3 linked regions of the Lonchura striata genome follow. The protein of the gene in region 1 interacts with the protein of each later gene in a pairwise test. Links are inferred from orthologs where the notes say so. Each region holds a gene or a part of one and is shown on either strand. Other genes may lie near its edges.

Region 1 (10,421 bases):
TGAATTTACATTGGATTTACCAACTAGTACTGGTTTCCATTGTGATTAGAGCAGCTGGTTCTGGAAAGTCCCTGCTGGATTCATTTTGTGAAATCACAAAGGACAGCATGAAAAGATTGAGGTTTTTTTAAGAAGTCTCAAATTTCAAAATGTTGAAGTGGATGATTTCTCCTCCTTCATCCCTCTAAGGGCATATCTGTAAACAGATCCTGTGCTGCCAGCTCAGGGCTCCCTGGGGGCTTACAAGTGGGACTGTCCAGTACTTGTACATGAGATGAACAAGCTTCATGTTTTTAAGAAGGTTTCCCTTTAAAAGCTTTAATTTGCTTAAGTAACACATTTGTCTAATGTTATCCCTGCTGAAACTGATGTGGATGGATTCAGGCAGACATCACATGTTACATTATGAGTCTTAACATTTCACTAATTGTATTGACCTACTTCTGTGAATCACAGATTATTCTCCAGCTCATAAAGCACATCTGATTCCTTTACGTAGTTGTTCATGCAACGTGATACAATTGCAAGGCCCACAAGGGGGTGAAACCTCATGATTTATCTTTCCAAGTAAGCAGATAGCATCCCCAGCTTTCATCAGTACTTTGACCACATTAATAAAATGAGGAACAAAGCTCTTTTATCTCCTGCAACTTGTACAGTTATTTATTTCTTATCTTTTCCTTCCCTTTTAAACAGAGATAACAAAATGTGAATTGAAATTAGAAAAGCAACTGTTTGGCTCTGACTTGGCCATGTGGTTTTTTATTTCCATGACAAGTTTCTGCAGGATGTAATGGGAAACAAAGCTTTGGTATAGAGACCTCAAAGGGTAGGCAGTCAGCCATCAGCTGACATACCAAAGACTTCCATTCAGTGTCTCTGTGCTGAACTGCATCTTCTGAATAGATGAGTTCTCTGGCTATTCATCAACAATTTTAACTTATTTGTCAGGTATGCATGTAACTCCCTATGAGCTGGGAAGAATGTCCTCTGCTAAGGTAGAAAAGCTACTGGGATAAATGCACTCCATAGGGAAACTGGCATTTTAAGCTTTGGCCAGTTTCTCATAAATAGAAGTGCTAAGATCAAGCAAATAATTTGCCAACTATCTCAGGACTGAGGCAAACACACTAGAAAAGACAATTCCAAATGCTCCAACTAAATGAGCCATTATGAGCCTGCCCAAATTCCCAAGGACAAAACCAGCCCCTGAGATGAGAGCCCACAAGTCCTCATGCCAGCTTCACTGGACTTTGGATCAGGGTCTTTCATATTAAAAAAACACCTGTAGCTGTGCATCTTAGGAATAAACTTAGGAATAAAGACAAGAGACCACTTCCAAAAATGAAGAAGTGTGTCTGACAGCTCCTTATGGCTCTCCATGTAGTAACTTGAAGATGAATCTTTCAGCTGATGTTTTTCACTGTACACACAAAAGCTCCCTGCTTCCCGGAACAGAGGAAAAATAAAAGTGATCAGCTAAACTTAAAACCCCAAAATTGCAAGCATGTCTGTAGTTGATTACTTCTCTAAGCTGCTCTACTTCAAAAGAAAATCTCATTATTACTTGTGTAATGATCTCATTGATCATTAAGCATGGCCTTTTACTAGAGCTACAGTAACACTGGAAGGATATTTGATTAAGAATGGATAAATTCTTTTAAATGCATTTGTGACTCTTCTATATATTTTTAACAAAATATCATTAAAAATGTAATGGAATATGCATGAGCAGAGCAAGCTACACATATAGAAACATGCTTATATTGACACAGATGGTATTTTCAAATATTAAATATTTCAAATAAGAAAATAGGCAACAGAAACATTAATTCCCAATAAACTTTAAATGCATCGACTTTAAAAAAAATAAATACCTCATACTTTCAATATTCCCCCCAGCATTTCTTTTTTCAAAAGTGTTTGCAAACCTAAGCAATGAAAGTCCAACATTAGGTCTTTCTATAGGTATACTTTTCTGGCTGAATTTACTGCTTGCTAAAAGAGAAGGCAAATTGCTGAACTCTATTACATATACACATAATAGAGCAAGTGCCTTTGCAGGTCTAGCATTTTGCAGACTTAATATCCCTCCTTAAGTGGCTTAAAAATGATGAAATTTGTAATTGTTCACTTCCTGTATTTTATACTAGTTTGCTCAAGTCTCTAACAGCAGTATAGCACCATAATTTAAAAAACAAACAAGGCAGAGGTAGGTGAGGAAATTACTAAGGATGTGAACATGATGACCATATCTAAGTTTACAATGAAACTTCTGACTTGGGTGGATTTATTCTCTTGAACACACAAACAGGTGCACTAACAGCAGGTTATTAGTGATGGGATGGCCATGTTTTTTGAAGTGCAAAAGTCAACTCACCTTAAAAAATGGTTGGAATTTCCTTCCCAGCAGAGAAAAAGCTGCTCTATGGCAGCTCTCTCTTCTGTGCTTACTCCCATTTCAGCTCTGGGGAGCTGGCCTCTTACTGTTCCCAAAGCAAGATGTCAGGAATCGTGGCTGCTTTCCCTGGCACATGAGTAAGCAAGCTATCTCACCACAGAGACCTGCAACAGAATATGGGCATCTTCATGAGGTGCTACATTTTGTTTCAAACCTTCTGCTTAAACATCAGTTCCCAGGCACAAGGTGGAACAGCAGCTGGACAGAAGAGATGGGGAAGTTCTGGCCACAAGTCAATAGGCAGAGGGATCCCTCAACTCTTAGAAGTCAGGGAGCAGGAGATCTGCCTGGAGTGCACTGATCCCCTAATAGCCTGTGAATGCCCTGAAAGGGACATCTGCTGAACTAAATCTTGGATTTAAATTTAATCCATGTGAGTTCCTCTGCTTTTTATTTATCTAGGGCTTTCAAACCACAAGGAGAGTCCCCATGCTGACCAAGAAAGGAAATGTGTCGTTGACTTAATGTCCTCACTTCCCTGTGTAAAACACATAGAAAATATCCTTTCACTGACTCCACACAATTACACCCACAGCTGGTCATGGGGCTCAGCTGACCATGAGAAACCTTTATGTTGCTCCATGACCAAAAGGGCAAGAGGTCAACTGCTGAGTCCTGAGACATCTGACTGCAGCTCCTGCCATTAAAGGGCCCCTGCTGCCATTCCCAGGAAAGGTATTGGACATGAATGGATATCTCTGCACCCAGGTTTTACACATGCTTCATTTAATACATCACCGTCTTGACTGGTTCGCTCTCCCATCTCTGAGGTTTCCAGAAGTTGGACAGAGGTAAAAGACACGTTAGGCAAGGAGCCTCATGTAACAGATGGATAGACAGTCCCAGCCTGACCGCTTCATTGAGCAGTTCAGCCAATTTTTCATGCCGTCATCAGCAGTTGCAGGCCAAAAGGGCAACAGAAAGGGAGAGCTTAATCTGTAAGAAATCATCAGCAAATGGAAACAAGGTTAGATCAGGTCAGTGCACTACTAACTTCATTATTTTGAAATCGTATGCACAAATCACTTCCCATTTTAGAAAGCAGAGAAATTTATTTGATAATTCACATGAATTGAGCCAAATCTGGTGGAAAGAAGAATTACTTTTTCTTTAGGAGAGCCTACTTCTTGATCATGTAATGAGTTGTACTCAGCTTGAGTGATAGCTGTCAATCCCACTATCTGCATACCCACACTCCTGTCAGACCCTAAGGTGCTCAGAGCAGAAGTGACGGGAGGGAATAACGCATGGCCTGAGTGCAACTTCCACTGGACAGGGACTCAGTTACCCACTCAAAACAGGAAGTAAAAAACGTGGTCCCAGCACACTCCTGTCACAGGCAAATCTTTTCTCCCTGATCTACATTAAAGATTTCCAACAGCAAAGGAAAAAAGGGTGTTTCAGTAGCTCATCAGTCATTGAAGGTATAATTGTAGCACAGAAGAGTACTTGGGTTTTATACCAGCTCAATGAATGGAACATTTGGAGTGAAGGTACAGTTTAAACTCATTAAATGGCTCACAGAGAAATCAAAGGTTAGATTACCAGTGTGCTTACTAATGCTTTACCATGTTTTTGCTGGTAACCTTGCTAGGGTAGAAGTAAACTGCTGTCTGTTGAAAACAATTCCTGGACAATAATACCTTCTGCTTCCCTTTGAGAAGGCTGAGAACCAAATCCCACAACATGCTGCTGTGTTCCACTCTCTGCTCTAAATTAAAATAAATAAAAGTTCCTAGCTGCTTACAATTTGCAAACATTTATAAAAAAGTTTGTATCAAATTCCATTAGCTTTAGAGCCATAAATATTCCTTCAGTTTTCTGTAAATGAAATGAAGAAGAAGTCTCAAACCACTTCTCTGCAACTGAAGGAACTGTTTCACCTCATATAGGCTGCTTTATCACAAGTCAACAATAAAAAACTGATGAAATATGGTGTTAGAGCACTTTAAACTTTCTTTTTGGGATCCACTCGAAACCACCACCTCCAAGTTGACATTCTGGAGAAAAGGAACATTAAAGAATGAACCTGAAGCCAAGGCAAATCTGAAAGCATGGAAGGCCCACCACCAAGGTAAGCCTCAGTAATTTGGTTTATCACTCAGTCTACATCAGTCCAAATCAGAAGACACTTTGGGGTTCTATTTATAATTCTTTTCTTAGCTGTAAAGGCTGTTGGTTTCTGAAAACTCAGCTGTTTGCATCAGGGAAAAGCATGAATTACATGAAAATGAGTTGGCTTGCAGCAAAAGTTGAAGAGTGTGATCTATCACTTCATGCCAGGACACAGTGCTTTGGTTAGCACCATTCCTCGCAGCTGCAGGGAACACACACACAACTGTTTATTGACACAAAGTGAAGAAAGCCTCAGAGCAGATTTGTGTGGCACACATTGCACTACAGCATCAGAAAACTTTGCTCCTTTGCTCTAACTCTGCTGCATTCTGGTCCCATACTCAGAGGAGAGCAAAGCAGAGCAACATCAAGTGGACTTTGTTAAGGCTGAAGTACAATGAAAAGGAGAAAGAAAAACAAACAGAAAAGCACAACATCCACTGTAGATGAGAAGCAGCAGCATGACAGCCATAACTACAAATGTGCATTACTCACAGACACAGTTTGCACAAATCCTTCTTTACTGATAACAAATAACCTACCCACCAAAATCACAAACTTAAATCACACTTGGTTCTTTATGTAAAAGGCTTAGGAGATGGCTTTTTTTTTTTTGTGCTGATGGTGAGGCATTTTGGAGTGTTTTTTTCTGGGTTTTCTGGTGCTGGAGTGGAGTGTCTCTGTTTGCAGCTGTTTGAGGCATTCCTCTATAAAAAGATCAGATAGCATGGGCTTCACATTAGTTAAAAATAATCTAAAAAAGACATTACTTGGCTTGTTCCACACATTTTACATTTAGAAAAAGCACCCATCATCTGACTCCTCAACGCCTATCTTATTTTTATTGTATCTATTCAAATAGCACTTTTACACTTGAGCGAAAGCCAAGAAATTCCAGCACTCAGTACGCTCTGCCATCCCCAAGTCAGCAAACTCGCTGGTTATCAGGAATAAGGCAGATACCGTGTGAGTGCGGGCCGGGGGAGGAGAGTCATGCAGGCGGCGATGGGAGGGGATGGTTGTGTATTAATAGCCCGTGCCCGAGCGCCGCAGCCTCTTCGGGGTCGGCGCTCGGCGGGACTCCGGGGCAGCAGGAGGGACCGCGCACCGCCGCACCGAGTGAGTTCTGCTTCGGCTCTGCTGCCGCCCTGCTCCTCTCTCCCCTTGCTTCTCTCATCCTACTCTGCCCTCCCTAGGCTACAGCGGCTGTGAGCGAGGTCAGGCTGTCAAGTTATGCTACGTGTAGAGCACGTCCTGAGAGCGTTTGATTTTCTGAGATTTGCTCGGTTTATCCAGCCTGGCCCTCCGGCTGGTACTACCGGCAGAGAGGAGCGCTCTATAGAGAGCAGCGCGCTACACGGTGGCCGTGAGTGTAACTCAAGCACCTCATCTATGCCTCCTCTGCCGCTTACAGGCATCCTTCACCTCTGCCTGCTGCACTTAGGACATCTGTACGACCACGTGCAACGCTAAAACCAGACTTCACTCCAAATTGTGAGCTGCTTTTCCAGAGGCAAACAGGCTGATCACTGGCTTGTTGTACAACCAAGCCCCTGTTCCTCGTCCTTGCTCAGTCAGTGCTGAGCTACTTCGATAATAAGGCTATGTGTCAGGTACTTGCCAAGAAATCAGAGTGAGGAGGCTCTGGGAATTCTGCAGAGTTTTCAATAAGTGGAAACTTATTTCAAGCCAATATTCCATTAGAGGTAAAGGCTGACTAAAATGCCTTCACTTACATAACCAAGCTAAATCTAGGCTAATGTCAGAGAAATTAGATGAATTTTAAGCAGCACCAACCAGTTATTCTAGGTCATTGTTGTGCCCTGTTCTGTTCATTTTTCAAGTTCCTGTGTTCTAAAGCAATGGATTAACATACTCTGGTCTTAATTCCCACAGTCATTGTATAGAGTAAAAATCTCCTGCATCTGACTCCACTTACTCAATTTTTCTCCTTATCAAAGTTGAAGGTTTTTTTGTTATTTGTTTTTTTACTTCAAAATTATAGTCTAAATAGGCATTGAGGATTTTTTTTCTTTCATTCTAACTGCTGTCATTTTCCTATATACATAATCCTCCCACACACATTTCCTCTGTTAAAAGCAGTCTGTTGTTCCCTGTTCATTTCAGACTATCCAAGCAAACAAACCGTAGCTATAAAAGTATCTTTCCCGGGCTTCTGTACTCCTTACAACTGTTTGTAAACACAAGTACTTTTATACTAAAACTTGCAACATTTGTAAAGAAAAAAAAGACACAGAGGTCTTTTTTAAGTTTACTTTTGTTCATTCTTTTGTTTTATTTAATCCAAAACAGAATCCACCTCTCCCTAAAAAAGTGCACATTGTGTAAATTATTCCTCGCAGCAGACACACACATGCCCAGGCACACAGTCAAATCCATTTGTATAGAAATAAGACTGAAGCTCTCTAACTTTTAAACTGAAAATATACACAAAGTGGTTCTTAAAAGATTTCTGGTTCCTGCACCAGCAAGCATGCTAGCTAGTGCAGCATGCTCCTATGCCACTGCCCAACATGCTCTGGTGCTCTAAGCTATTATGTTTGCTCATAACATTTGTCATTGCTGTCTATCCCACCTTCTCCTGAGCAGCTGGAAAGCAGGAGCAGTTGAATCTAGTGCTCATTTTCAAAATATCCTAGATCAAAATCTCACCAGAAAGTAATTACACTGCCCAGGAGCCACTGATGAGGCTGATTGGGCTAGCAGGGGGCACAGAAAGCTATGCTTATTCACACCTGTCATATCATATATGCTGCAAATCTCAAACAGGTGATTATTTTACCCTTTTTACAGTTAGTCCTAGAAGTGTGAGGAAAAAAATAAGGGGGAAAAAAAGAAGCCAAATCCCACATATACATTTCTACTTTGAAGAACTTTGTTTGATCGCAAGGCAATCTGCTAAAACTCCCAGAAAACAAGCTACAATGAACTGAGGAAAAACTGAAACACCTACTTTTGAATCTCTTTAGAAGTAACTAAAAATATTGCTGAAATTACTTAGTAAAGAATAAGCATGAGATGGAAAAGGAGAGAAAACAAGGACATTCAGTGATACCAGGCAAAGTGTACTATGCTTTGTAGTTGTAGCAGATGCAAAGAGGGAAGGGAAACAAAGGTTTAAGCTGTCTCACAGGCTTAGTTTAGTTGATGTGTGATGAAAGGTTTCCCTGAGAAACTAGCAGCAAACTGCCTCTCAGAAAGTACTTTCTACTAAAGTGTAGGAACACACAGATTAGGGTTTTACATAACAAGCAATTTGTGACTGTGTCTCAAACTGCAAATTTCTCACTTGTGGCCAAATTTGGGTGGTCCCCAGGCTTCTGGCTACGTGTTGCTCAGAATTGTAAGTCTACATTTGGCACTGCTGTTCCTCTCAAGGAGACTGGCAATGCTCCTCAGGCTCACTCTGGCTAAGAAAAGAATTTCAAACTATCTGAAAATACTTGAGATCTGTGCCCCAGCCCACTGTATTGGTGCCACCCAGGCACGGTGGTCTGTGCCAGGCACTGCAGGGCAGAGCAGGAGGGCAGCAGGAATTTGTGACCAGGACATGAAGTAGGTGGTACTGGAGAATTCTGCAAAGTGAATAAATACCTTTTCCAGTCAAATCTGTACCTGCTACAGGGGTCATATACAGTGCTTAAAAACCTACCTAATTCTTTCATGCCTATAATTTTGGTGTGTTTTTAGTAAATTATACAGTAGATTGACCATATGCAACAGGTCAAGAGCAAAGTAGTTTAGACAAGCAGGGGGAAGGATTTGGTGCTTGTACTCCTTCTTGCACTTAAACACACACTCACTCCCACACATTCCTGGGATAGAAAAAAGACCACTTTTGCACATCCAAGGAAATATGTTAGGCGACCAAAACAGTTGTTTTACAAATTTTTGTGCTGGACAGGCTTGAGAGGTCAGAAAATGGACATGATTCATCCTGGCAAAAAGCAGCTGCCTTTGGAGAGCCAACTGAAAAATACAGAGCTACGCTGCTCGCAACTGAGCTCTGAGCTTTGTAAGAATATTATGAGGTCATGCTGATTAATCTGAAGAGTGCAGAGAGAGATGCAAAGCATGAATTTTAGAGCAATGACATGGGGTTGGCAAACATCAAGATTATTTAGGCTCTTGTTCTACCACAAAATGCTTCTGGGAATTCTTGAAACATCTGATGTGGAAATAAGACTTAAGTAGTTTTTCCTGAGAAAGGATCCTAACCACTGCTTTGCCTGCATCTTTCCTGAGATATCTTGCAATTTTATTTACCAGTATTTCATGGTCTTGAGTGTGGAATTTATTCATCTAAAAGAGGCTGCACAAAGCAATTTCAAAAGTTGCCTACATAAAACTGAGAACAAGGTGATACAAATCCAAAGCTTGAGAATCAGAGAGAAAGCAAAGTCACCACAGATGCTCAAGCCCTAAAGGGAAGGGTGTGGCAAGCCAGGCAGACTGAGGACACGCTGCTCAGGTGGCTGAGCAAAGCCAAGTCCATCACCACTTCCCTGCCTCCTTAATTTTGCTGACATGTGAGACCTCCCTCATTCACTTCAGTTCAAACAAACAGAGTGAACTTCAGATATTTGAATTAATTATTATCAGTTTGATTGTAGTTACTTGAGGGGCAATCGCAAACTAGCTCAGGGAAACCCAGTGGGGTCTGGCATTCTCCTTCAACAAGTCTTGAGAGTGGACATCCATTCACTGCCCATTCACACTGGACTCCCACTTAAAAAAAAAATAACCACCACTTAAAAAAAAATAACCACCTTTCATATCTTTCTTATCTTCCTCTTTCACTGATACATTGTGGTTATTTTTCTAAAAAAAAAAAAACCAGCAAAAAACCTAGTGGTTTTTTTCTGTGTTCTTGAAGGACTTTTTTGGGTTCTGAATTTCCACATCAGCAAATCAGGCCTGAACCATCATTGGAGAGATAATTGCTTTAAGGTCTCCTACAGCTCCTTTCTTTTTAAAGCCCACATATTGACAAATCAGGCTTTGCTTAGACAGTACAGTTTTACACATCAGGTCACTTGAAATAGTTATAACTATTAGTGCTACTCAATACTCTAACAGTAATGCCTTAAAACTTATTCTCATTTTAGGATGCTGATTTCCCCCACAGGTCACAAATAAGCAACACAGCAGGTGCATGCACATGCAAAATCCTTCTAAAAAAGAATTTAAATCTGTATTATGCTCTAAGTGATCCAGGTATCTAATCTTGAAAATCATGCTAAGAAGTATCCGTTATATCTGGAATTTATTATTTCAAAAGTTGACCCTACATAAAATTCCATAAACATTCACTTCAGATGATTTGTGTATTAAACAGAAAAGGGTGCACATTTTTTTTCCGCTTTTTTTTCCGAGGTCCAGACTGCTATCTTGCTTAGAAATATAAGCTATCAATTTCATATGCTTATTTTCTATAACTGGACCAGAGTGGGAAAAGAGACCATCAATTTTCAGAAAGAGAGCTGACAGCAAATAGAATTAGAGTTTTTAATTTTATTTTCTGTCAAAACAGACTGCTGTGAAAATCTTCCATTCGAAGACTTGCAGTCTTCCATCAATCTGCCAATATTATCTAATCCTTCCAAAAGGATGGGCAGAAAATATCTTATTCTCTTTGCTATAAAAAAGAACTAATAAAGACATATTTTGTGGGGAAAAAAAAAACAAGACAAAACTATTAAATCAGTACTATTCTTGGTTTTCAAAAGCTGAAAAATATCTTTTAAACCTGTAATATTTTTTCATTCAAGGTAAAAAAAATTGAAGACATTCCTGCAGCAACCAATTTGATCAGTAACTAGGA
Region 2 (10,645 bases), on another chromosome or scaffold:
GTAAACTTGGCCCTTCAAAACAGTCTTTCATAAGAGATCATAACCACAGTCAGGAAAAGGGGAGGGCAGAGCCATGAATGAGGAGACTCGAGTTGAGTTGTGGAGATTTCCATTAATTAGGAAAGAAAGGTGCCTTTCAGAGGCCTAAATGTCACCCTCCTAAGTGCCAAAGCTACAAACACTTGGTTGCTTTTGCAGGGAGAGGTCATCGTGCGCAGACAGTGCGGTGAAATGGAAACGCAGGCGTGGGACAAACAGGCACGGTCATTTTCGTAAGCAGGGACACAACATTCCACTGCTTGTCTACAATTTCCATTTTTAAGCTGGAGTCTGCTGTAAACCATTTATCATGTGGTTTTCTAATACCTCTAAATGGCCCTCTGCTTCCCCCCCAGTGCCATGCAGCCGAGATGCCACATCTGACAGTGCAAGTTAAAAATGACTCCGATAGCACCCGACAGTGCTCCGTGCACATCCTCTGACTTAGTGCCTGCAGACTAAACAAGCCTGTTGATGCCAAAAGATCCAATACTGAAACAGTGGGCCTGGCTTGCTGCTCCTCTGGGACAGAGCCAACTCTACTGCTGTCAACAAACACTAAGTCAGACTTGGAAAGCTTACAGGAAGCTTTCATGGCAGCATATGCCAGAAGAGGGGGAAACAACTGCCCACCTCTGAGTTGCAAGAATTCTGAGAACCAAGACGGTTGGGAGAAAGCTACAACAGGTCATGGTAAAAATACACTTCACAAAAACTTAGTGTTTGTACTACCTCATCTTTCGGGGTGAAATTTTCACCATTAATTCCTTGGGAGTGGAAGGAAAATCCTGTTTTCTACTTTGAGGTTTTCTTTTTATAAACATAAGCAAAGAGAAATTAAACTGGGGACTGAGTCTCTCAGTGTGTATGTATGCTAAGTGCCATTTTTCAGCCTCAGCATTCTGATTTTACATAGAGACACACAGGAGGTAAAGCATCAAAGTATGAAAAAATCATTAGCCATACACCTGAAACATAAAGTTCTTTTAGCTCTGTATTTCAGCCAAAATAGTGAAACGGCATGAATCCATTGGTTTTTTTCCTCACTCATCAAAACCAAGTGTTTATTGGTCCCTTTCCAAATTGCTGAATTTTGTTCTTAGAGGAAAGTCAGATCTGGGCAATATCCTGGCTTCTTCCTTACAAGACAGCCAATCTGAAACGGGCTTGAGCACAGGTAAGGCCTGCAGTTAGCCTCTTCCTACTGCCAAGGAAAACCAGCTTAAAACATCAGGTCAATGTCTGAACCCAAGGTTATTCTCAATTTTGGCCCTTCTGTGTATCAGTAGATATATATATAAAGCTTAAAAAGGCAGAAGCTGGAAACTTCCATTTGAAATATGCTCACAGTCCTAGCACACCTATAACTATCACTGACAAACATCCCAATAGCTCCTCAAAGTAATGATACCACATTGTGTAACATCAAATAGCTATTTATACAGCTACTACTACAGTATCAAGGGCTTTCAACAGAAGAAAAAATGGAAAAAAAAACAGAAATTAACTGGGACCATTTGTTTTCTGAAGAACTGAAGACTGCTTCAGAAAAAGTGCTTACACCTCTTGTGAAATTACAAGCACTCACCAATACAATTTGCGAGTGACAGGAGTAAGTCAACATGTTGCACAGAGCGCGAGAAGTGAAATAAAGCAATTATTTCTATTTTTATAAAGTAAGTGTTACAGAACTGTTCATCGTTGTGAAAAACAGACACCACTGAACCAGAAATTGATTCAGTGCTGGGGAAATACAACATTTGACACCAATGAGTCAAGATATATACATGATGTTCAATGCAGCCTTTCTACTGCTTTTCTATTACTTCAATCTGTTTATTTTCCTGGCCATATGAAATTAGCTCTAAAGTGGTTCTAGTTTCCTTCTGCTCACATCACACAGAGTTCCCATGGCACAGCAAAAGCTTTTGGAGGGCACTTACCAGCATGAAAGAAGAGAAGATAGAAAACATTTCTCAAGCTCTTCATGGTGAAAGTTTTGGGATCTGTGATTTCTTTTTCAGCCTTCAAAATTCCCAGAGATCAAGGCTCCTGCAAGAATGCTCCCTCCAGCCTGGTTTTAGGTGAAAATCAGTTGTGTTCAATTGCAGTTCAATGCACTCTGTTCAGCAACAAGCCCTGCTTACCTCCGCATGCCTCACCTCGTAAGGAGTACAGGAAAAGAAAGCTTCTCCTCACACTGCCTGTACACTTGAAAAAAAATATCAGACCTGGAAATTGCAACATATCTGCGGCACCAATGAGGTCACTACTGCCTTGGCACCACCCACAGACTTCATTCACTAAATTGCTACACACCGGCACACGGGGGTGGGGTAGGGCTGTGGAAACACATCCTTGCTCTGTGGTCTGTGTATTCCCTATACCTGGGGCTCAGGAAGCAGGAGATTCAAGGGAAGCAGTTAATCTGGCAGAGTAGACAGTCACTTGATGCCACATTCTCAGCATTGTCAAAAATTGCTTAAAGCCATCATTAAAAGCCCAGGCTCTTAAAACAGCAAAGCCTGTACACTATACAGGTGGGTACAGCACATGCCAAGTGCACATTTCCTGAAATTTAATAGCAATTGCTATAAAACAGCTGAATCATTCTGGCTTATTTTAAGGTTTAAGAGAAGGCCTAGGAAGGATTCTCTCCCAGAAAGAATCAAAACTGCTGACACTAGCTCTGTTAAAAGCTGCTGTGAACTTTAGTGTAACTTCACAGAGCAATCCTCATTTGTGCTGCCTTTTTATTAATTTCTTATTAGTCAATGAACTGCAGCTGCCTGTAACACTTTGCTTAGATAAAAGCTGCTCAGAAACAGAAGGGCTGTGTGATGTGAGTCCTCACACCCAGGGAGGGCATGAGCCACGCAGCTCTGTGCATCCCCCTGTAGGTCCGGGAGTGTGGCATGATGCCTCCAGCACTCATCAGCTACCTGACTGCAGTTTGGCAACTCTGACTACACCTGTAAGACAACAGCTGAGTTAATTAATTGCTATTTCAAGTTTAGAATTGCAAAAAATAGAGAATGATCTCTCCAGACTTTCTTCCCAAACAAAGCTTTATGGTTGAACTCTTGGCTCCCTAGACCGTCTGGAATTAATTGTCCCTTTGCTGTCTGAAGTGTTAAAGAATAACCCGGTACCACTGGAGTATTTCCAAATGTTTTCAAGGACCCATTGCTCAGATCCTTCCTGTGCCCTTCCTACTGGCCAGATTAACATCTGAAGCCCTCTCTCCCTGATGTTTGCAGAAGGGTTTACATTCATATGGAGATGACAAGACCGACAGTCCTAGTACCAGTTACTTAAGACTGCAAGGGCAGGATTAGTAAAACATGAACCAGGTACCAGGGGTCTCCTGTGGATCCTCTAAAGGAATGGTTCAGAAGGCAGAGGAGCAGCCTTTTTGTACAGGAGGTCTATTCCAAACCCAGCCCCCTCTAAACAACCACACAAGCACAGTTTGTCAGAATTTAAGTAATTTTTCTATTTGATTCTTAACTCTTGAGTATCTGTGCTTTAAGTTTCTTAACCCAGTTTTCAGCACAATTCAGCAAAAATGCCAACAAAGAAATAATATAACTTACAATAATAATATAGGGTAGCAAATACTTCATCAAACATGTGTCTGTATAGCAATTACAAATAGCTGGTTTATCAGGCAGGAAGAAAACCCACAATGCCTTCACTCGGCCAGCAAAAGAGTTGTAATACAGCAGTATGATGCCATTTGTATTTCCTAATTACTCTAGTTGTTAAATTAGAGGCCTTTAGCAAAATACACATATTGTAAAACATAACTCTAAAACACAGAAAAGTGTACCCAAGAATCAGAAGATATATCAGTACTTGATGCTGGAAAAATGAGACCCACAGAAACACTAAGTAATGCAAAACCCTGACAATTACACAAGTTAAGACAACAAGGAGCATCAGGGCTCTCAGAATCAACTTTTCTGCCAGTGTTCAAAGGTAACACTGGAAACAAACAAAACTAAAAACACAAAGCAAATGCTCCAGAGTCCTTTGAGATATCTTGATCTGAGACTTGTTTTCACACCCGCAAGGCTGCTGTGCAAGGTAACTGCTGCGGACTTCAGTCAGAGTGTGTTTGGTGACACCTGGCTACTACAGGACAAGTGCCTGGGGGCAAAGTTCCCCGACAGCTGCTCAGACACTCCAACACATGAAAGAGCAATTCCTCACAGACCTGCTCAGCTGAACAGGGCTCTTTCTGATGGGTTAAAAAAAAGAGGTAAAAAGAAGTGTATACAATGCAGAGATCTCAGATGTGTTTGCAGATTTGATATATTCATATCCTTCTGTTTTTTTTTTTTTTTTTTTAGAGTTACTCTTTTAAGATGTCTCACAAGACACCTCAAACAATCAATCACTTTCAAAAACACAACAGTACACTTCCAGCTGTCTTAAAAATTTATGACATTATTTATCAATTTGCATCAATCTAGTACACCATGCACTTTCATGGGCAGGAGTTCTTAGAAAGGCAGCACACCTGATTTCCCAGATCTTGAGAAGCAGAAATTCTTCTGGGGCATGCACCAGCAGCTTGAACTTCCTGTAAGCTGCACTAGCATCCCATGTAACATCAGCAATAATTGTGTCACAAGTTTAAACTTGCTTTTAATGCATAACTTCAGTAGCCCCAAGGTGGCCACCAGTGTTTCTCTAACACCTGATTTTTGTTTACAGTCCCAGTCAATTATTCTAAAGTGCTACAACACCTGTATTTATCAAAATTAAAAACACACTTGACAAATATATTGTACAATAAAGTTTATTAGCTGTTCTCCTCTTTCTAACAAATGGAATGGATAGTGTTGATAATTCTTTACAAACCAAAGCTGATTTGGTTGTGTGGGGATTTGACTGCCCCATGACTGTCATAAGTACATCCCTCTAAAAACAATCAGTTGCAAACAAGCAATGGCAGGTACCAGATAATACGGGAATTAGAGAATTTCATTATTGAAGGTTTTGGTACAACGTATTCATAACATTCAGCACAGAAGTTTGTGCATTGCAAATGGAAGATCTTGTGCCTGTGCAATCCGAGACGAACACGTACAGAAAAAAATATATTGTTGACTCTGAATTCTCCCTTTGGTTAAGACATGCATATTATAAAGGGGACAGAGGAAGACAAACACCCAGAATTGCGTAGAAAAGAGGAGAACTTGCATGTATTTTTTTCTTGTACTAATATTCCCTGGACTTCATGCCCAGCTATCACAGCCCATTTGATTTTTCCGTGATTAAGGAAGGTAAATTCTAATTTGTTTTTTTTTAATTTTTATTCAAAACAAAAAGCTAGGAGTAGGTGGTAAAAGAAAAATATATATTTTATATATATATTTATACGTGTGCGCAACTATGTAAAGAAAATAATTCCCATAGTTACAGAGTTTAGTTAAAGAAAGTTTAATATATATATATATTTATTATAACAAAATAGGCAGTTATTGTGGGTAAAATATTCATTAAAATCTGACCCCTAAGAACACACACATCTTTAGGCTATGAATCATTCTCTCATTGCCCTAATGACCATCTCTGCAGCTGTTTTCTGAATTATTGCCAATGCAAATTTGGCATTCCTCTGAAAAATACAAGGTTTCCTAGCACCTAAACATATTTTTAGGCTCAAAAAGTGTGACGACCATTATCTATAAAGAATTTCTGTAATACACTATAAATAGTGTTTCATGAGGAAGATTAAAAACATTACACATCTTTGTCCCTAGCAATTTTATTGGCAAAAAAATATGAAAAAATAGATTTTAAGAATATCCATATGAAATTATGAAAATTAATATCCCTTTAGGAGTAGTAATGGGACTTAATGAAAATGCTAACTCAAAATTTAAAAGTTTCTTTCTAACTGCCTGGAAAGAAAAAAGATACCGTGACAATAGGATTGAACTCAAAATAAAACCTGAAATTGATTGCCCTGACCAAACCATGCTATTAAAGTTAAGCGTGCAAAGTTACTCATAATTTACAACTTCCTTGAATACAACTTTTCTTTCAATTGTTATGAAATTTTAAAAGAATGTCTATAAAGCTTTTTTGAAAAATCTTTGAAAGTTACTTTCCCTTAAACATTAAGGAATTTTACCCAGCAATTCCCTCCCACCCCCACCCTAAACTAATAGCTGGTCAGGCCATTCCACTGTCATGTTTGAAAAATGGCAAACCAACAACACACAATAATACAAATTATTTAAACTAAGAGAGACACCAAATGTAAAGCATTATGGGAACTGCAGAATGTGATGGTTAGGGTATGAACCACGCTGGAAAGAACTAGAGGCAGGCTCCACTGGAAGGGCTTAAGAGTCGTCAGATGTAGTAGGTGATGTAGTTAGAAAATGAAAAATAAAAATCTGTTTTCATAATTTTTCCTTTGCTGGAACCCAGATGTAAGGACCAGACTGTTCCTCTATGATCTGTTTCACTTGGTTGTAGATTTCTTCCAGAGTGTCTCCCTGGACAATAGCTGCAAAATATAATGTGGAAGTCAGCAATCATCCCTCCCATTCCGTGCAGAAGCCAGGCTGCTCCTTCCCCTCCGAGTGGCAGGAGGATTTCCGACTGCTGAAGGAACAGACTCCTGTGGACACTCCTGGTTTCAGGGCTGGACTGAAGCAAAGTCTGGAGGACACACAAAGCACTTCCTTGGGGACAGGAACAACCTTTTCCTAGACACAGGTTCCAATTTGCCTGAGCCAATTCACATCCTCCAGTATTCTTTTTGGCCCAACTTTCATTTGTGTTTCTAACACAAGGCACGACAGTGCAGGGCTGTGTCCTCACAGGCTGGTGAACTCCTCAGCTCTGTCCTGAAGCTGCACAGCAAGGCAGGCTGACCTCGAGATGTCTACCTAGCTCTACCTCTGCCTTTGGCTAAAAAAAGGAGGAACTCATGGAGTTTGTTGTCCAGAGAACAGATTCAAGTTTTATAGACAAGAGGCTTCCTTATACAGTTAAAAGTGCAATCTATACTCATTCCTATCATGTCAGTTGATATATTTTTGCCAAGGCTAGAAATTAACTAGAAATTAGCCAATATGGATGTGTTTTGACATATCAGAATAAAATATGGTCTGGTGAAAATGAAGTTTGAGCTGTTCTTACCAACACTTCAGCCTGGAAAAGCAATCACTGTGAGAAAGCAACTTCTTTTTAATTAGTGTCACAATCTCAGCATCAATAATCCAAGAAGTAAAGTTTAACATGAAAGACAGTTTTGGAGGCAGGTCAGACTCACTCTTCTGTGCATTAATAGAGTAGTGCTGCTTCTGAGATTTGCTTTTGTGCAAATTAGTTCCCTTTTATTCCTACCATTCCATTCTTATCTCTTAAAAACCTTCTCCCCATCTGCAGCTCAATGCTGTACTGCCTGTGGGAGGAGGCTGCTCCATTGTTACAGGCCAAGTATAATGTTCACAGCACAACAGTGCATGAGAAAAATTAGAAATGTCTTTGCAAAGCAAATAGGCCATAAGCTTTAGTATCTTCTCTCCAGCTAAGTTCAACCACACCTCTTCCAAACCTCAGTAACCTCAAAGTTGAATAAGGATGTGCTTTTTTTAAGTCGCTGGAAACAAAACTTGCTGATGAAGCTGGAAAATGTCAGAAAGTCTTAGCGTTTTTAAAAACTAAATTAAGCTCCCAGTAAATTTTCGTCTATTTTTTATATTAACTGATCAAAGGAAAATCAGTGTAGAGATATGAAGATAGCTCTATACCTCAGAGTAATCACAGATCATCTGAAAAACAAAGCTCCCTATCTCAGTGGTTAGGCAAGTACTATTTTTACAGCAAGCCATAAAATTTCAACTCAGGCAAGTGAGCAGTCACAAGCAAAACACACCTGTGAAGTGTTCAGTAAATTCTTGCTCCAGTTTCGTGGCCCTCTCAAATGTCTTCCTGGCTTGCTCTTCCGTTAAGCGTTTATTCATTTCCCTGAAAGTGCAAATATTATACCTTTTTAAAACCAATATAAAATACTTGGAGTCTTTAAGGTTTTAAACTGTTGTTTGAATATTAATCCTAATAAAAGGATTAAATCCTAAAGACACCAAGCAAAGACTGTAGTGGAAACTGTTCTAGCATTATGTTGCATGGAATTGAAACAATTTTGTTTTCAAGCACTTTAATTTGGATTAGAAGCCCCATCTTAAAGTCTCTAAAAATTAAATTCAGGGAATTAAATAATATTTAAAACACACACATTACAATTGTCTGCATATAACTTTCAGTTGGCTTTTCAAATACAACAGTCTCAAACAACTTAGCTTGAGGTACTTTATTTTTACTCACATTATATTTTCCACTGTTTTGGGTTTAATAAAAATGGAGATTGGGTAGAGCTGGGCAATCTGCAACCTTTTGATCGCATTACCAGAAACATCAAGAATGCAATGTTTACCCTAAAAAGTGAGAGAGAAAGGAAAATGGCACTAAGCAAAGTTTAAGTCACAAGTAGCATAGTATAATAATTAAGAAGAGAAAACATGTCTCCACTGAAAGCAAGAAAATTAGAATATTTGCATCAGTGGTACTGTGATTTTCACCACTGTGGCACAAGGTCCCCCAATCTCCTCTACTGGATCACACATCACCTTTCTTTCTTCATTCCTTTCTTCATCACAGCTTGCAGCCCAATCAGCAATGCAGAACCATACAGTGGAACAGTTGGACTTCAACTATACCACCAAAATGTTTTATTTTGCTTTGCTTTGGTACTAATTTGAGGATGCTTTACGGAGGTGGCCATGTCACAGATGTGGTTTAGAGAGGAGCCAGATGACTTAACTGGCACACCTGAGGAAGTGCCCACCCCTGTTGACCTGGAAATATGCCACCATATTCAGGTGGAACTGCACACCAGCCCTCTCCTCCCCCAGGTACCAACCAGTAAAAATACAACATTGGAGATGGCGAATGCAATTTATTTGTGTTGATTTGTCATTCATCTCTTGAGAAACAAGTATCCCTTGCCCATTCCTTGGGCACCTGGAAGACAGTGTGATAAGGTTGTTTTCCTCCCCGTCTCTATTCTCCCACTAATATGAATTTTCCAACTTCTCCTGTTCTCAGCAGCTTTCATCTCAGATATGCTCACTTCCACCTCACACTCTTTTACTTCTTTCCTTTCTGAATAGCATAGGATTAATTTTGCATACTGTCTGAAATTACTGACATGCTTCTGCTTCCTGGCAAAAGAAATAACAAGGATCATTTACATTTGATCTCTTTCCCACAAAATCAGAATTTTATTTCAGGAATTTTTAAAGAGCAATGTTCTTCCCACATGAACAACATATATATCTGTTTGCTTTCAGCTAATGGTAGCTGTTTCCCATTTCCAGTCCATGGATCTGGATGCCAACTGGCAACATTTAAAAAAGATGTATGTCCTAGCAGAGTATTTTACATGTGCTGATCTGTCCACATCTTTAAATGTGGCACATGCTCCAAGAACTGAGAATTAAGAGCATTATTTGAAAAAGAATAAAGGACATAGTAAAACACTATTTGCTGTGTTTGGCCCAACAGCTTTAGCCAGGAGCCAAAGGATGGAAGGCTAGAGAGCCAGCACAGTACCTGTGCTGGACCTTATGGGATATAACCATGACAGTTTATTCCAAATCAACAATGACTGTGTATTAACTGTAGCCTTGAGACAGAGATTTGCAAACTGCTGATAATTCCAAAGGAAAGAGGGTATGAAGATTCTTTCCAAGTGAAGATTTGAAAGACAAGGAAAAGAAACACAAGTACATTGTGATACAAGCATGTTTTCATCCAGGGAAGCTATTTTGCTCTTTGCATACTGCATTTAGAATAATATTTGATATATTTTAGTTCCTTTATTGCACTGCATCTGTTTGAGAAGCACCACACAGCAGCCAGTGCCTTCTATAACTGAACAACAGCATCAGAAAGCATCTTCAGCTGTGCCCATTGTGAGCAAGGAAATGAGAGAGACAGGGATCAGCTGGAAGCATGGGCAAATGAACACAACTGAAGGCTATTTTAAGAATACTGTTTCTGGTTCTTTTGGGGTAATAGCAGTCACTTGTGTTCTGTCTTCTCCTAAACTGATTGCAGAAAGTTTGGAAATCATCTTTTGTATCCCAGCAATAAAACCCACTGAAAAGACTGATCTTTTCAGCAAGATGGAAAAGAATACAAGGGTGGGAATAGTTTCAGATCAACCAGTATGCAGCCCTGCCATGATTTTGAAGTACAGTTCTGAAGGACAGACTATTGTTTCCCAGAAAAATAATGTCAGCTGCAACTAAGAAATTGCTGCATCTACCCAAAGTCCGTGGTGCCTGTGCAAGAGATTTAACTGCTAATACTTTGTTCTTTGTGTCCATTTATGAAAAGTTCATAGCAATTCTGTACCTTACTAATCCCCACAGATGGGCAAATAAGCAGAGCCAATTTCAGGTGCAGGATGGAACTGAAGGATAGTATTTGTGCTACCAAGTAAAGCAACTGCCAACAGATTTATAATGTTTAAGCTATTTAATAATTTCATCATTTAGCCACATATGATAGT
Region 3 (10,735 bases), on another chromosome or scaffold:
CATGGTGTTCTGGCAGAGCACTTGCTTCTGTAGCCTGCTTGGGGCATCCAGCAGCCAGGGACTGGCTGTTTTCATGGCTATAAGAGGCTTTGGCAAAGTCTAGACTGGAAAGTTTGAACCTGAGCTTGCCTGGAAATCCATGGGCACTGTCCTAGAATAGGGGGTGGGTTTATAAACCTGGATCTGGGTTGGGCACTCTGTGCCCAGCCTTCAGGGTGCAGAGAGGATTGTTTTCCTGAATGAGGGTTTCCTTACAAGCTTTAAACTATGAAAAGTTCTCTTCTTTAGGATTCAACTTACAGAGAATTCCTGTGAATTCAGGGCATTTAGGATAAAATGAGTTTTCTCAACCAGGAGTAAACTGGCACCTTGGAGCAAGGTGTTGGTGGGCTTTACAGCCTGTAGTTAGAAAAAAATGAAGGGACAGAGCATGATTCCCTGCCAGCAAGATTTCCTGCTGTCCTGCAGCACATCCCCTGCTCGCTCCCTGCCTTGCTTTCCCAGTGTGCTGTGTTAATGGTAGCACTCTGAGCATTGTCTCAGAGTGAAGTGACTAAAGTGGGAGTTTTGAAGCCTAAATAGCTCAAACATGATCCTAAGGTGGTGACAGCTCTGCTGCTTGCTGCTGGTCAGTCCAGCTGCTGCTGTGTGTCCCTGGGGAGCTGGACTGGCTCACAGGGCTGAGCTCCAGCTCGGGCTGCCTGGGGAGCCTGGTCTGGATTAGCAGTCTGGCACTCTGCAGTGCCTGGCACGTCCCTTGTCCCCAGGGAGCACGGACAGCAGCTGCTCTGGGAGCATTTCCCACATGACAGCTGGGGCTGCCCAAAGCACACGGAGCTCCTGAGCCAGAGGAAAGCAAAGAGCCACCCATGGTCTTCCCCAAATGAAGAGTCCCTTTGGCCTGTGGGGAACAGCAGGCACCCTCCCTTGCCCCTCTCTCTGCATTGGTGGCATTTCCTGGCGTGGCAGGAAGGAGCCAGGCCCTGACGCCTTCCTGCTCTGCTGGATGGGGTCTCATGTGGCTTTGTCCCCGCTCTTCCTCCCCTCAGGCTTCGACTGCCGCTGCGGGAACCTGTTCTGTGCCATTCACCGGTACTCTGACATGCACGCCTGCCCCTACGACTACAAGGCAGAAGCTGCCGAGAAGATCCGCAAGGAAAACCCCATCGTTATCGCCGAGAAGATCCAGAAGTTGTGAAGGGGTCCGAGCAGCTCGAACTGCAGCCAGGCCGCCTGGTGCTCCTCCCCTTCCTCCCGGCCTTCCTCCTCCTCCTCCCAGCCCCTGCGGCGGTGCGAGGGTGACTCCAGCAGTGCTCACAAACCGGCACCTGGACACGGGGACTCCTCGCACCTCTGGCAGTCAGCTGGTGTTCCTCCTCTCCCTTCCTGCCTGTCCGACAGCCACAGCTCAGCTGATGTGTTCTCAACCAGCTTCCCAGAGGAAAAGGGACCGTCCTGCCCCGCTGCTCCAGCGCTAAGACCTTGGCACTTGCCTCTTGCCGGGCAGTATGAGCGGCCGGGCTCTGCCGGGCAGCCTTTCCCTTCCCGGCGGCTCCGAGTCCTGCAAAGCACCCAGGGCTTGTGGCTGCAGTCCCCGAGCAGCTGCTGGACTCTGTTCCCTCTGCCTGCAGTCCCGGGAGCTGGGGGATCCTGGCAGCCAGGCTGCCGTCTGCTCCCCGGGAGGTGTTTGCTCTCAGATGCACAAAAGTTGATTCTGTAGTTCAGCACCCCAGACCCCTCTCCCCACCCTCTGCTGACGCTGTTGGAGAAGCACCAAGGGGGTTGAGCAGTGATGCTGGCACAGGGAAGTTATATTGTGGCTTGATGTGGGCAGGGCAGGACCTTCCAGGAGGTTCTGCTTGCTGCCTTGTGCCTCTCTCACAGGGAGGCAGCCAGGGACACCCCTGCTCCAGCCTCCTGCTTCAGCACCCCTGGATAACCCCGGCTGCTTTCCCAGCAAGGTGTGTGTCCCTCAGCACTGCCTGTGCCTGCTCTCCTCTCTCCCCTCTTTCCCCTTTCTCCTCTCCCTTCTCTCCTCTCTCCCTGCCTTCTGCCTTACACGAGTCGCTCTCATCAGGGTTGTGCACAAAGCTCAGGTCCCCACGCCTCTGCTTCTGGACCTGTCCCTGCACCCAGGTGACAGTGGGGTCCCCTCCTCCCATGTGGGCCATGCTGGTACTGGGGAGAGCTCGGGGAGCCCACCCAGCTGCCCTCCTCTGCCTCCTCCCTCCCTGTGGGATGAGAGGCAGGGCCAGGTCCCCAGGAGATGCTCTGCAAGCCAGACAGAGGGAACTGGGGCACAGGGAAAGTCACGAGGAGGGTCCTGGGGTGCCCAGATGTCCAAGTGGGGGCTCAGAAACGCCCATGGAGAGACCCAGGGAGCAGGGAGAGGTGCTTGGAGGCCTCTGGGCTCACTGAGACTCAGAATTCCCTGAGGTGCTGGAAGGCCCAGGGAGGGCTCCGGGGTGCAAGGAAAGGCAGAAGGAGAGCTTTGGGGTACAGTGAACACGCTCAGAGGCCTCAAGCACCCTAAGAGGCACGTGGAAGGCTCTAGGGCTGCTCTCACGCACTCACACAGGAAGGGAGGTGTGGGAAAAACCAAATGCCACTCAGTTCCACTCCAGAAAGAGCACCTGGAGGGCTCGGTTGGGAGGACCTGGGGCTCAGGGGTGCAGCACAAGGCAGGCAGAGGCTCCTGGGGCACAGCCACGGCCTCCATGCCCAGGGGATTCCTGGGAACACCAGGAGCGGGGCTGTGGCCACGGAACTCTGGCTTTCTCAAGCAGAGAAACCCGGATGTGTCCCGGGGGACAAGCAGCAGCCTCTGTCCCACTCTGCTGGCCATCCCACGCTTTGGAAGCATTTCCCTTGGTGTCAGCACAGCTGCAGGGCCCAGCTGGGGGAAACCATAGCAGCTCCTTCCTTCCAAAGGCTGTTTTCCTGCCCTGCTTGTGGCAGTTCTGCCCAGGTGCTGGAGTGTTTGGTTTTTGCAGTCTGCTCCAGCCAAAGCAGCGTGTGCTCTGTGCCAGCTGCCATCCTGTGCTGCTGCTGGCAGCATCTGAACCTCCCAAACTGCTGCAAACCCCCCTGCAGCACAGAGAGGAGTGAGGCTGCCTCTCGCCAGCCTTTTCCTCAGGTTTTTCCTTCTGGATAACACTGACATGTCTGGAGCATGCAAGTGGCTGCACGTGTTAGCCCTGGACACACCTGGGCCAGCACAGAGATGGTGGTGGCCAGGCTGGGTTTGGCCCAGCTGTTGGCTGAGGATGATCCCTCACCCTCAGGGGATGCAGGAATTTTGGCCACCAGCCCCGAAGAAGTGCAGCAGCTCCCGTGGATCCTTGGGAAAGGCCACAGCCACCTGCTTCTCCAGCACCGCCCTTTTCCCTGTTCCTCCCTCCCTGTCCATGAGTGTAAATACAACACAGTCTAGTTTGCTTGGATGCTGTGGGTGCTTTGTTTCAGGCAGGATGCCTGGGGGGCTTGGCTTGGCTCTTTTGGGGTGGCTGTGGGGCTCTGTGCCTCAGTTTCCCTGTGGATGATCATTCACAGTACCTGGTGCTGGCTGGGGATCAGAGCACCCCAGACCTGCACCCCCCTGATCTCAACTCCACCAGGGGCTGGGCTGGATCTCCAGGGGTCACTTCAGCCCTGACAAGTCTGGGATTTTGCCTTTTGGCTCAGTAGGGAGCCCTGGCTGGGTCTGAGGGGCTCCAAGGTTCTCCCGGGTTCCCTCCTGTCTGCTGTCACCTCCGTGGGGCAGGAAAGGGAGTTTGGGACAGGCCCCCAAAGCCACCCCCCTCCCCACGTGGGGGCATTTGGGCAGTGTTTGGCACCAGGACTGACTTCAGCAAGGCTTTGGACGCTGCCTCCCGTGACATCTTTGCAGGTGGACACGGGAGATGTGGGAAAATGGAGTGCGGAGGGCCTGGCTGAGTGCAGAGCTCGGAGGGGCCTGGAAGCACAGCAGAGTCCCCAGGGATCCGTGCCTGCTCCAGCCCTGCTCAGTTCGTGTAGCAACCTGCGGGGGATAGAATGGACTGATCAGGTTTCAGGGGAGTGACTGACTCTCCTGAAGGCCGTGCTGCCATTCAGAGGGGCCTGGGAGGGGGCAAACCCAAGGGGGTTCAACAAGGGCAAGTGTAGGGTCCTGCACCCGGGGAGGACAAACCCCAGGGGCCAGCACAGGCTGGGGGTGACCCACTGGGGAGCAGCTCTGCAGAGGAGGGCCTGGGGCTCCTGGGGGATGACAAACTGTCCCTGAGGCAGCAGAGTGTCCTGGGGCCAGGGGGACACTGGGACCCTGGGGACATCGGGAGGAGTGTGGCCAGCAGGGTAGGGAGGGATCCTGCCCCTCTGCTCGGCCCTAGTGAGGCACATCTGGGCTGCTGTGTCCAGTTCTGGAGAGGAAGGACAAGGAGCTACTGGAGAGGGTCCAGTGGAGGCCCCAGAGGTGATTTGGGGCCTGGAGCTTCTGGTGAGGAGAGACACTGGGAGCTGGGCTTGGTTAATCCAGAGTAGACGGAGAGTGTTGGATGTTTGGTTTTTTAAAAAAAAAAAGACTATAAGACATTATGAAGTCATAAAAGCTCAGAAGTTAAACTCAAGAATATAACTACGGAGAACAGCCAGACTGACATTGACAGAAACCAAACGCAGCTCCGGAGCCGTGCCGAGCAGCCCGTTCATTCCGTGCCGCTGACTTTGGGAATGTGGCAGTGCTCACTGTGCCTGCTGGACTCCTCCTCTCGCTGCTTGCGGCTTTCCCACGCTGCCTTCAGGATCCGCTCCATTTGCTGCTTCTCCTGCGCCGGGGTCCGCTTGTCCAGCCCGCGCTTCTCCTCCTCCTCCTGCTGCTGCTCCTTGCTGCCCGGGATCTGCTCTGGGATCTGGGCTTTGTCTTTCGCCTTCTTCTCCCGCTTGCCGGCCCCCAGGGAGCCCCCGCTGCCCTTCAGCCGCAGGGGACCGCGCTCCATGATTTTTCTCAAACTCCTAGATTTTTGTCAAATTTTATACGGTCCCAAACCCATAGAAAAATCCATCGGTTGAATGTTCATTGGTCCCAACTTGTGCAGTTCTTAATGCTTGGTTTCCTCTTGGATATGGATTTCCTGGCCTCTGATGTTACCTAGTTCTTCACTCCTAATTTGCATTTCCTTATCGGCCTTTTCCAGGTGTCTCCAGCCGTGCCAGGGGGCAGGTGTGGAGCAGATGGTGGCAGATGTTTCGCCAGTGGCCCTTCATAGCCTTTATCTCTTGTGTATCTCTTGTGCCGCTCTCAGCCCCGAACTCCTCATTGCTCCTGGTGGAACAATGCTTTGGAGGGAAACTTCCCATGCCCCGGGGCCAAGGCGAACAAGGGGCCAAGGCAAACAAGCGTGACTAAAGTTAGGAAATAAAAATTTTAAACTTGGTATATTTTCCAACAAGAGGCGATCTCGCCAATCCGCATAAACATCTCCAACGTGAGCACCAGGCTCCTTTCAGTGCTGCAGTGGCCATAAACTAAACTAAACCACCAGAAGTCCCACCTCAAGGTGAGGAAGGGCTTCTCACTGCAGGTGGCAGAGCACTGAGCAGCGAGGTGGTGAAGCCTCCCTCGGGAGACACTCCAAGCCCACCCGCTGCAGGAGCGAGGCCGGGCTGGGTGATCTCCAGAGGTGCCTCCCAGCGCCATTTGGGATTTTGGGGCGCGGGAGCGAGGCCAGGCTGGGTGATCTCCAGAGGTGCCTCCCAGCGCCATTTGGGATTTTGGGGCGCGGGAGCGAGGCCAGGCTGGGTGATCTCCAGAGGTGCCTCCCAGCGCCATTTGGGATTTTGGGGGGCGAGCGAGGCTGGGCTGGGTGATCTCCAGAGGTGCCTCCCAGCGCCATTTGGGATTTTGGGGGGGGGAGCGAGGCCAGGCTGGTGATCTCCAGAGGTGCCTCCCAGCGCCATTTGGGATTTTGGAGGGGGAGCGAGGCCGGGCTGGTGATCTCCAGAGGTGCCTCCCAGCGCCATTTGGGATTTTGGGGGGGGAGTGAGGCCAGGCTGGGTGATCTCCAGAGGTGCCTCCCAGCGCCATTTGGGATTTTGGGGGGGGAGTGAGGCCAGGCTGGGTGATCTCCAGAGGTGCCTCCCAGCGCCATTTGGGATTTTGTGGGGGGAGCGAGGCCGGGCTGGTGATCTCCAGAGGTGCCTCCCAGCGCCATTTGGGATTTTGGGGGGGGAGTGAGGCCAGGCTGGGTGATCTCCAGAGGTGCCTCCCAGCGCCATTTGGGATTTTGGGGCGCGGGAGCGAGGCCAGGCCGCGCCGCGCTGTTCCCATGGCAACGGGCGCGGGGCGATGGCGTCACTTCCGGCCGGGGGGGCAGCGCCGCCCCCGCCTGGGAGGCCGCAGCGGCCGCGGGGCCTCGGGCAGCGGCAGCGGGGCCGGGGATGCGCAGGTACCGGGGCTCGGGGGCACACGAGCACGGCACGGCACGGCACGGCACGGGGACAGCCTGCGGGGGGCGGGCTCCGCCGGCCGGGCGCTCGCGGCGTGCAGCGGGGGGTCCCGCCGCGCGGCCGGAGGTACGGGAGGCCCCGGCACGCGGGGGAGGCCGTGCTGGTCAGTGAGGGGGGACACGGGGGTCAGTGACGGTTTGGAGGGGACACAGTGGGCAGTGAGGGGGGACACGGCGGTTAGTAAGGGTTTGGGGAGACGGTGGTCAGTGAGGGTTTGGGGGGACACAGTGGTCAGCGAGGGTTTGGGGGGACACAGTGGTCAGTGAGGGTCTGGGGGGACGCAGTGGGCAGTGAGGGTTTGGGGGGACACAGTGGGCAGTGAGGTTTTGGGGGGACACAGTGGGCAGTGAGGGTTTGGGGGGACACAGTGGGCAGTGAGGGTTTGGTTGCTGGCCTCCGGGGATATCCGTGCTGGAGCTGCGGCTGGCAGAGCCCAGGATTAACGTTAGTTCCGTGCCCGTGTCCCAGGTACACTGTGGTCAGTGAGGGTTTGGGGGTCACTGTGGTCGGTGTGGGTTTGGGGGGCCCACGCGGGTCGGTGGGGGTGTGGGACCCCCCCAGCGGGAGGTGCAGGCCGGGCAGGGTGTGTGAAACCCCCCAGAGGCGGGAGAGGCTCCCGGTGGGCGGCGTGGCCCGGGGCAGGGGCAGAGCCACGCGGGCCAGCCCGGGCTCATGGAGGAGGTCGGGAGGGGTCTGGGGACTTACACGGGCCCGGTGGGGCTGTGGGGACACGCACACAGTGATCGGGGAGGGTCCCACTGCTCCGTGTGTGTTTGGGGGTCCCTCAGCGATCAGTGAGGGGCAGTGTGAGTGGGGGTGGGGGTCTCCATTCCCGTCTGCAAGGTGGGACGGCCGCGATGGACAGGGAGGGGGAGAACTCACCGCTCTGGGGTGGGGGTGAGTTGGGGGGAGGGGTCCGTGCTGGGGGGGCCCGCAGCAGGCGATGGAGGGAAATGTGTGTGCGGTCAGGGTGGGGGTCCCACAGCCCCTGTGCGGTCAGGGTGGGGGTCCCACAGCCCCAGCCCGCTCAGCGTGTGTGGGGTGGGGGTCCCGTGCCTGTCAGAGGAGGGGGGAGCACCCACCAGTCCATGGTGGGGGCCGCACAGCGGTCAGTGGCTGGGTACAGCACGGACCCCCCTCGATGGGTGTGGGGTCGGCGTGTGTGCGTGGGTCACGCCCCACAGCAGGCGTGGGGCGAGGGCAGGGGCCGGGCGGGGCTGGCCACCCACGACGCGGTGTCCCCGGCCGGTGCCTGGCTTTGTCCCAGCGTGTGCGTGTGACACACGGTGTTAGTGGCCCCTGGTGCCACCTCCCCGCGTGGACCCCACGCAGGTGCGAGGCCACCGGACTCCCCGGGAGTGCCAAACCTGGGAGGGACGCGGCTGCCACGTGCCAGGTGTGGCACCGGCCCTGGCCCTGCTGTGGATGGTCACCGGCCCGAGGGGGCCTGGCTCCTACCGGGGCACGGGGCATCCCTTCGCTCACAGTGTTGTGGCATATTTCAGTGCCATATCCCAGCTTCAGTGCCATATCCCTCTTCCACCCTTTCCTCCCCTTTCCCAGGCCTTCGGAAGCAGATGGAGCGAATTCCTCGGGGTGTGGGCTGGTTTGACATTCCTCAGCTCAAGCCTGTGCCCAAACTTGCAGAAAATAGTTGCGTTTTTTTTTTTTTTTCCCCTCTCTCCTCTTTTCCCCTTCCTCTCCCCTTTCCCCTTTTTCCCGGGGAGCTCGGCACTCCCGAGCGCCTAGGTGGCCCCGGGGGATGGGTGTTCTTTGTCCCATCAGCCGTGTGGCTGCTGTGGGGGTGGTGTGTGTGGGATCCTGCTCTTGTCCTCGCCCCCTCCGCGTGGGCTGCCCGCGGGGGCTGGCGAATGTGGCAGGAGCTGGGACTTCGCGGGGGCTGCGTGTGCTGGGTGGGGGCTGCAGAGGTGCTCGGGGGGGGACACTGCGGGGAGCACGTTTGTCCCCGGCCGTGGGTGACAGAGCCCTCAGAGCCGCCGCCTGCCCGCAGGCCCCCGCCGCCGCCGGACGGACCGATGGACACGGCAGCCCCGCCGCCCGCCCCGGGCCGCGCTGCACGGCCGGCGCCCGCCGTGCCCCGGGCCGGCTGAGCACGGCGCGTCTCCGGGCCCGGCGTCGTTGCCGGCCTCTGTCCGATTGGGATCCTCCCTCGCTCCGGGCGCGGCCGCCTCCCCTCCCGCCTCGCCGCCGTCATGAACGGGCTGTCGATCAGCCAACTCTGCTGCCTCTTCTGCTGCCCGCCCTGCCCCAGCCGCATCGCGGCCAAGCTCGCCTTCCTGCCCCCGGAGCCCACCTACGCCATGGTGCCCGAGCCCGAGCCCGTGGGCAGCACGGGCTCCCTGCGCGGCGCCGCGGGCCGCTGGAAGCTGCACTTGAAGGAGCGGGCGGATTTCCAGTACTCCCAGCGGGAGCTGGACAACATCGAGGTGTTCGTCACCAAGAGCAGCCGGGGGAACCGCGTCGGCTGCATGTACGTCCGCTGCGTGCCCGGCGCCAGGTGAGTCACTGGGTGTGAGCTGGGGCACTGCTTTGCCCTGGGGCTGCCCTGGGGGCTCCTGTCCCCTTTTCCCCCTCAGCTGGGCCTCGCTGGAGGAGCTGGCCCTGCTTTGGAGGTGTCAGGTGGGATGGGCGAGCTGGGCTCCCCGACCGGTCCGGCTTGTGGCCGCACTGGGAGTGGGTCTAAACAGGAGCAGAGGCAAAGCCAGAGGCTGCAGGGGTGTGGGGATTCCCCAGGCTGTCTCACAGTCCCCTGCAGTGCTCCAGTTGTTTGCTCAGGGCTTGGTGCTCAGGGGGCACCAGGGTGGCTGCACCAGCTGCTTCTGCCCATCCCCAGCCCTGCGGTGACCATGGGGATTGGGCAACTGCCAGCCAGGGGAACCTGGTTTAGTCAAATTCACAAGGACTTTTGGTTCCTCAAGGAAAAGAGTGATAGGAGTGAAAGCCAGGAGGGGTTTGGTCACTCTCGTGGGTCAGTGGCACCCTGGGGTGTGAGATGGAGACCCCCTCCTGCTGCCACTGCCTGGGCAGAGGAGACAGGAGGGGACTTGGCAGCTGCTCCCTGAGCAGTGGCACAGTTTGGGGGTTCAGGTGCAGAGGGAGGCCAGGTCACCCCAGCTGACCCCTTTGCTGTGTCTTCCCAGGAAAAACAGGTCCTCAAAGAGCAGCATCCCAGGCTGCAGGGCTGGAGGGGAGAACCTGGGCTGGGGGAAACCAGGCCTACCAAACCGTGGGGTATCAGGTGCTGCTGGATGTCTGACTTCCTGCAGCTCCTCCTGTCACTGACTTCCAGCTGGGGCTCCCTGGGCATCCAGGCCAGGATCGGAGGCTCAGCCTGGCCACAGACCACTCAGACCAGCTGCAGGGGCTCAGCAGGGAGTGGGTCCTGCTCCCTCCCTCTGGCAGAAGGGAGCCAGGCTCCCATCAATCTGCTATTAGTGTTAATTTTTATGATTAACATTGTTTTTCCCCTTATGGTGGTAATTTCTTGTGCCTTGTCACTCCCACAATTCACTTCTCTCTCAGCATCTGGTGTCTTGCCAGGCTCAGGAGAGAAAAAACCTGCTGTCAGAATTCTTACTTGAAATCCCCATTGGGCAAACGGCCCCAAATCCTGAGCTTTTAACCAAAAATAGACTCAAAAACTTGAACAGAATCATCATCCTGCCTTCATGCTGCCTGTTCCTGCTGGGAGCGAGCCCCTGGCTCTGGCAGCAGGAGGGTCTGGGTGTCCCTGGGGGTGTCACCAGGTGGCTGGAGGGGTGTTGGCCCTTCGTGTCCCGGGGTTTGGTTGCTGGAGCTCCGGCACGGCGGCAGAGCCCAGGATTAACGTTCCGTACCCGTGTCCCAGGTACACGGTGCTTTTCTCCCACGGCAACGCCGTGGACCTGGGCCAGATGAGCAGCTTCTACATCGGGCTGGGCACCCGCATCAACTGCAACATCTTCTCCTACGACTACTCGGGCTACGGCGTGAGCACGGGCAGGCCCTCGGAGCGCAACCTCTACTCCGACATCGACGCCGCGTGGCAGGCGCTGCGCACACGGTGAGCGGGGCAGGGAGCTCGCCCTGCTGGCCTCAGGAAAACCCTGTGCTCCAGCAGGCAGGAAAACAGGAAATCTCCCAGAAGGGGAACCCTGGGCCGCTTGAGGCAGGAAGAGGTTGTTGGAAAACTCTAGAGGGAGCAGCTGGGGGATGCAAGGGGCAGGGATGCTGCGGGGCATGACCTTGG

Evidence for each region.
Region 2: the proteins of HPGDS (region 1) and MELTF interact in binary tests that used the Homo sapiens proteins (3 or more experiments, as listed by UniProt). The two-hybrid records come from large-scale screens. The link is inferred for Lonchura striata from reciprocal best matches to the Homo sapiens genes HPGDS and MELTF.
Region 3: the proteins of HPGDS (region 1) and ABHD17A interact in binary tests that used the Homo sapiens proteins (3 or more experiments, as listed by UniProt). The two-hybrid records come from large-scale screens. The link is inferred for Lonchura striata from reciprocal best matches to the Homo sapiens genes HPGDS and ABHD17A.

What each region holds. Positions count from the first base shown.
Region 1 is NC_134606.1:51,675,992-51,686,412, forward strand, and holds the start of HPGDS (hematopoietic prostaglandin D synthase), read left to right. Parts: upstream 1-5,623; 5' UTR 5,624-5,695; intron 5,696-10,421. UniProt on the Homo sapiens protein: Bifunctional enzyme which catalyzes both the conversion of PGH2 to PGD2, a prostaglandin involved in smooth muscle contraction/relaxation and a potent inhibitor of platelet aggregation, and the conjugation of glutathione with a wide range of aryl halides and organic isothiocyanates.
Region 2 is NC_134612.1:14,897,052-14,907,696, forward strand, and holds the start of MELTF (melanotransferrin), read right to left. Parts: upstream 4,718-10,645; 5' UTR 1-4,717. Other genes in the region: DLG1 (disks large homolog 1), read right to left, coding at 6,462-6,568, 7,946-8,037, 8,395-8,504. UniProt on the Homo sapiens protein: Involved in iron cellular uptake. Seems to be internalized and then recycled back to the cell membrane. Binds a single atom of iron per subunit. Could also bind zinc.
Region 3 is NC_134630.1:2,612,742-2,623,476, reverse strand, and holds the start of ABHD17A (alpha/beta hydrolase domain-containing protein 17A), read left to right. Parts: upstream 1-6,368; 5' UTR 6,369-6,425; intron 6,426-8,497; 5' UTR 8,498-8,699; coding exon 8,700-9,004; intron 9,005-10,354; coding exon 10,355-10,549; intron 10,550-10,735. Other genes in the region: AN1-type zinc finger protein 5, read left to right, coding at 1,050-1,198. UniProt on the Homo sapiens protein: Hydrolyzes fatty acids from S-acylated cysteine residues in proteins. Has depalmitoylating activity towards NRAS. Has depalmitoylating activity towards DLG4/PSD95. May have depalmitoylating activity towards MAP6.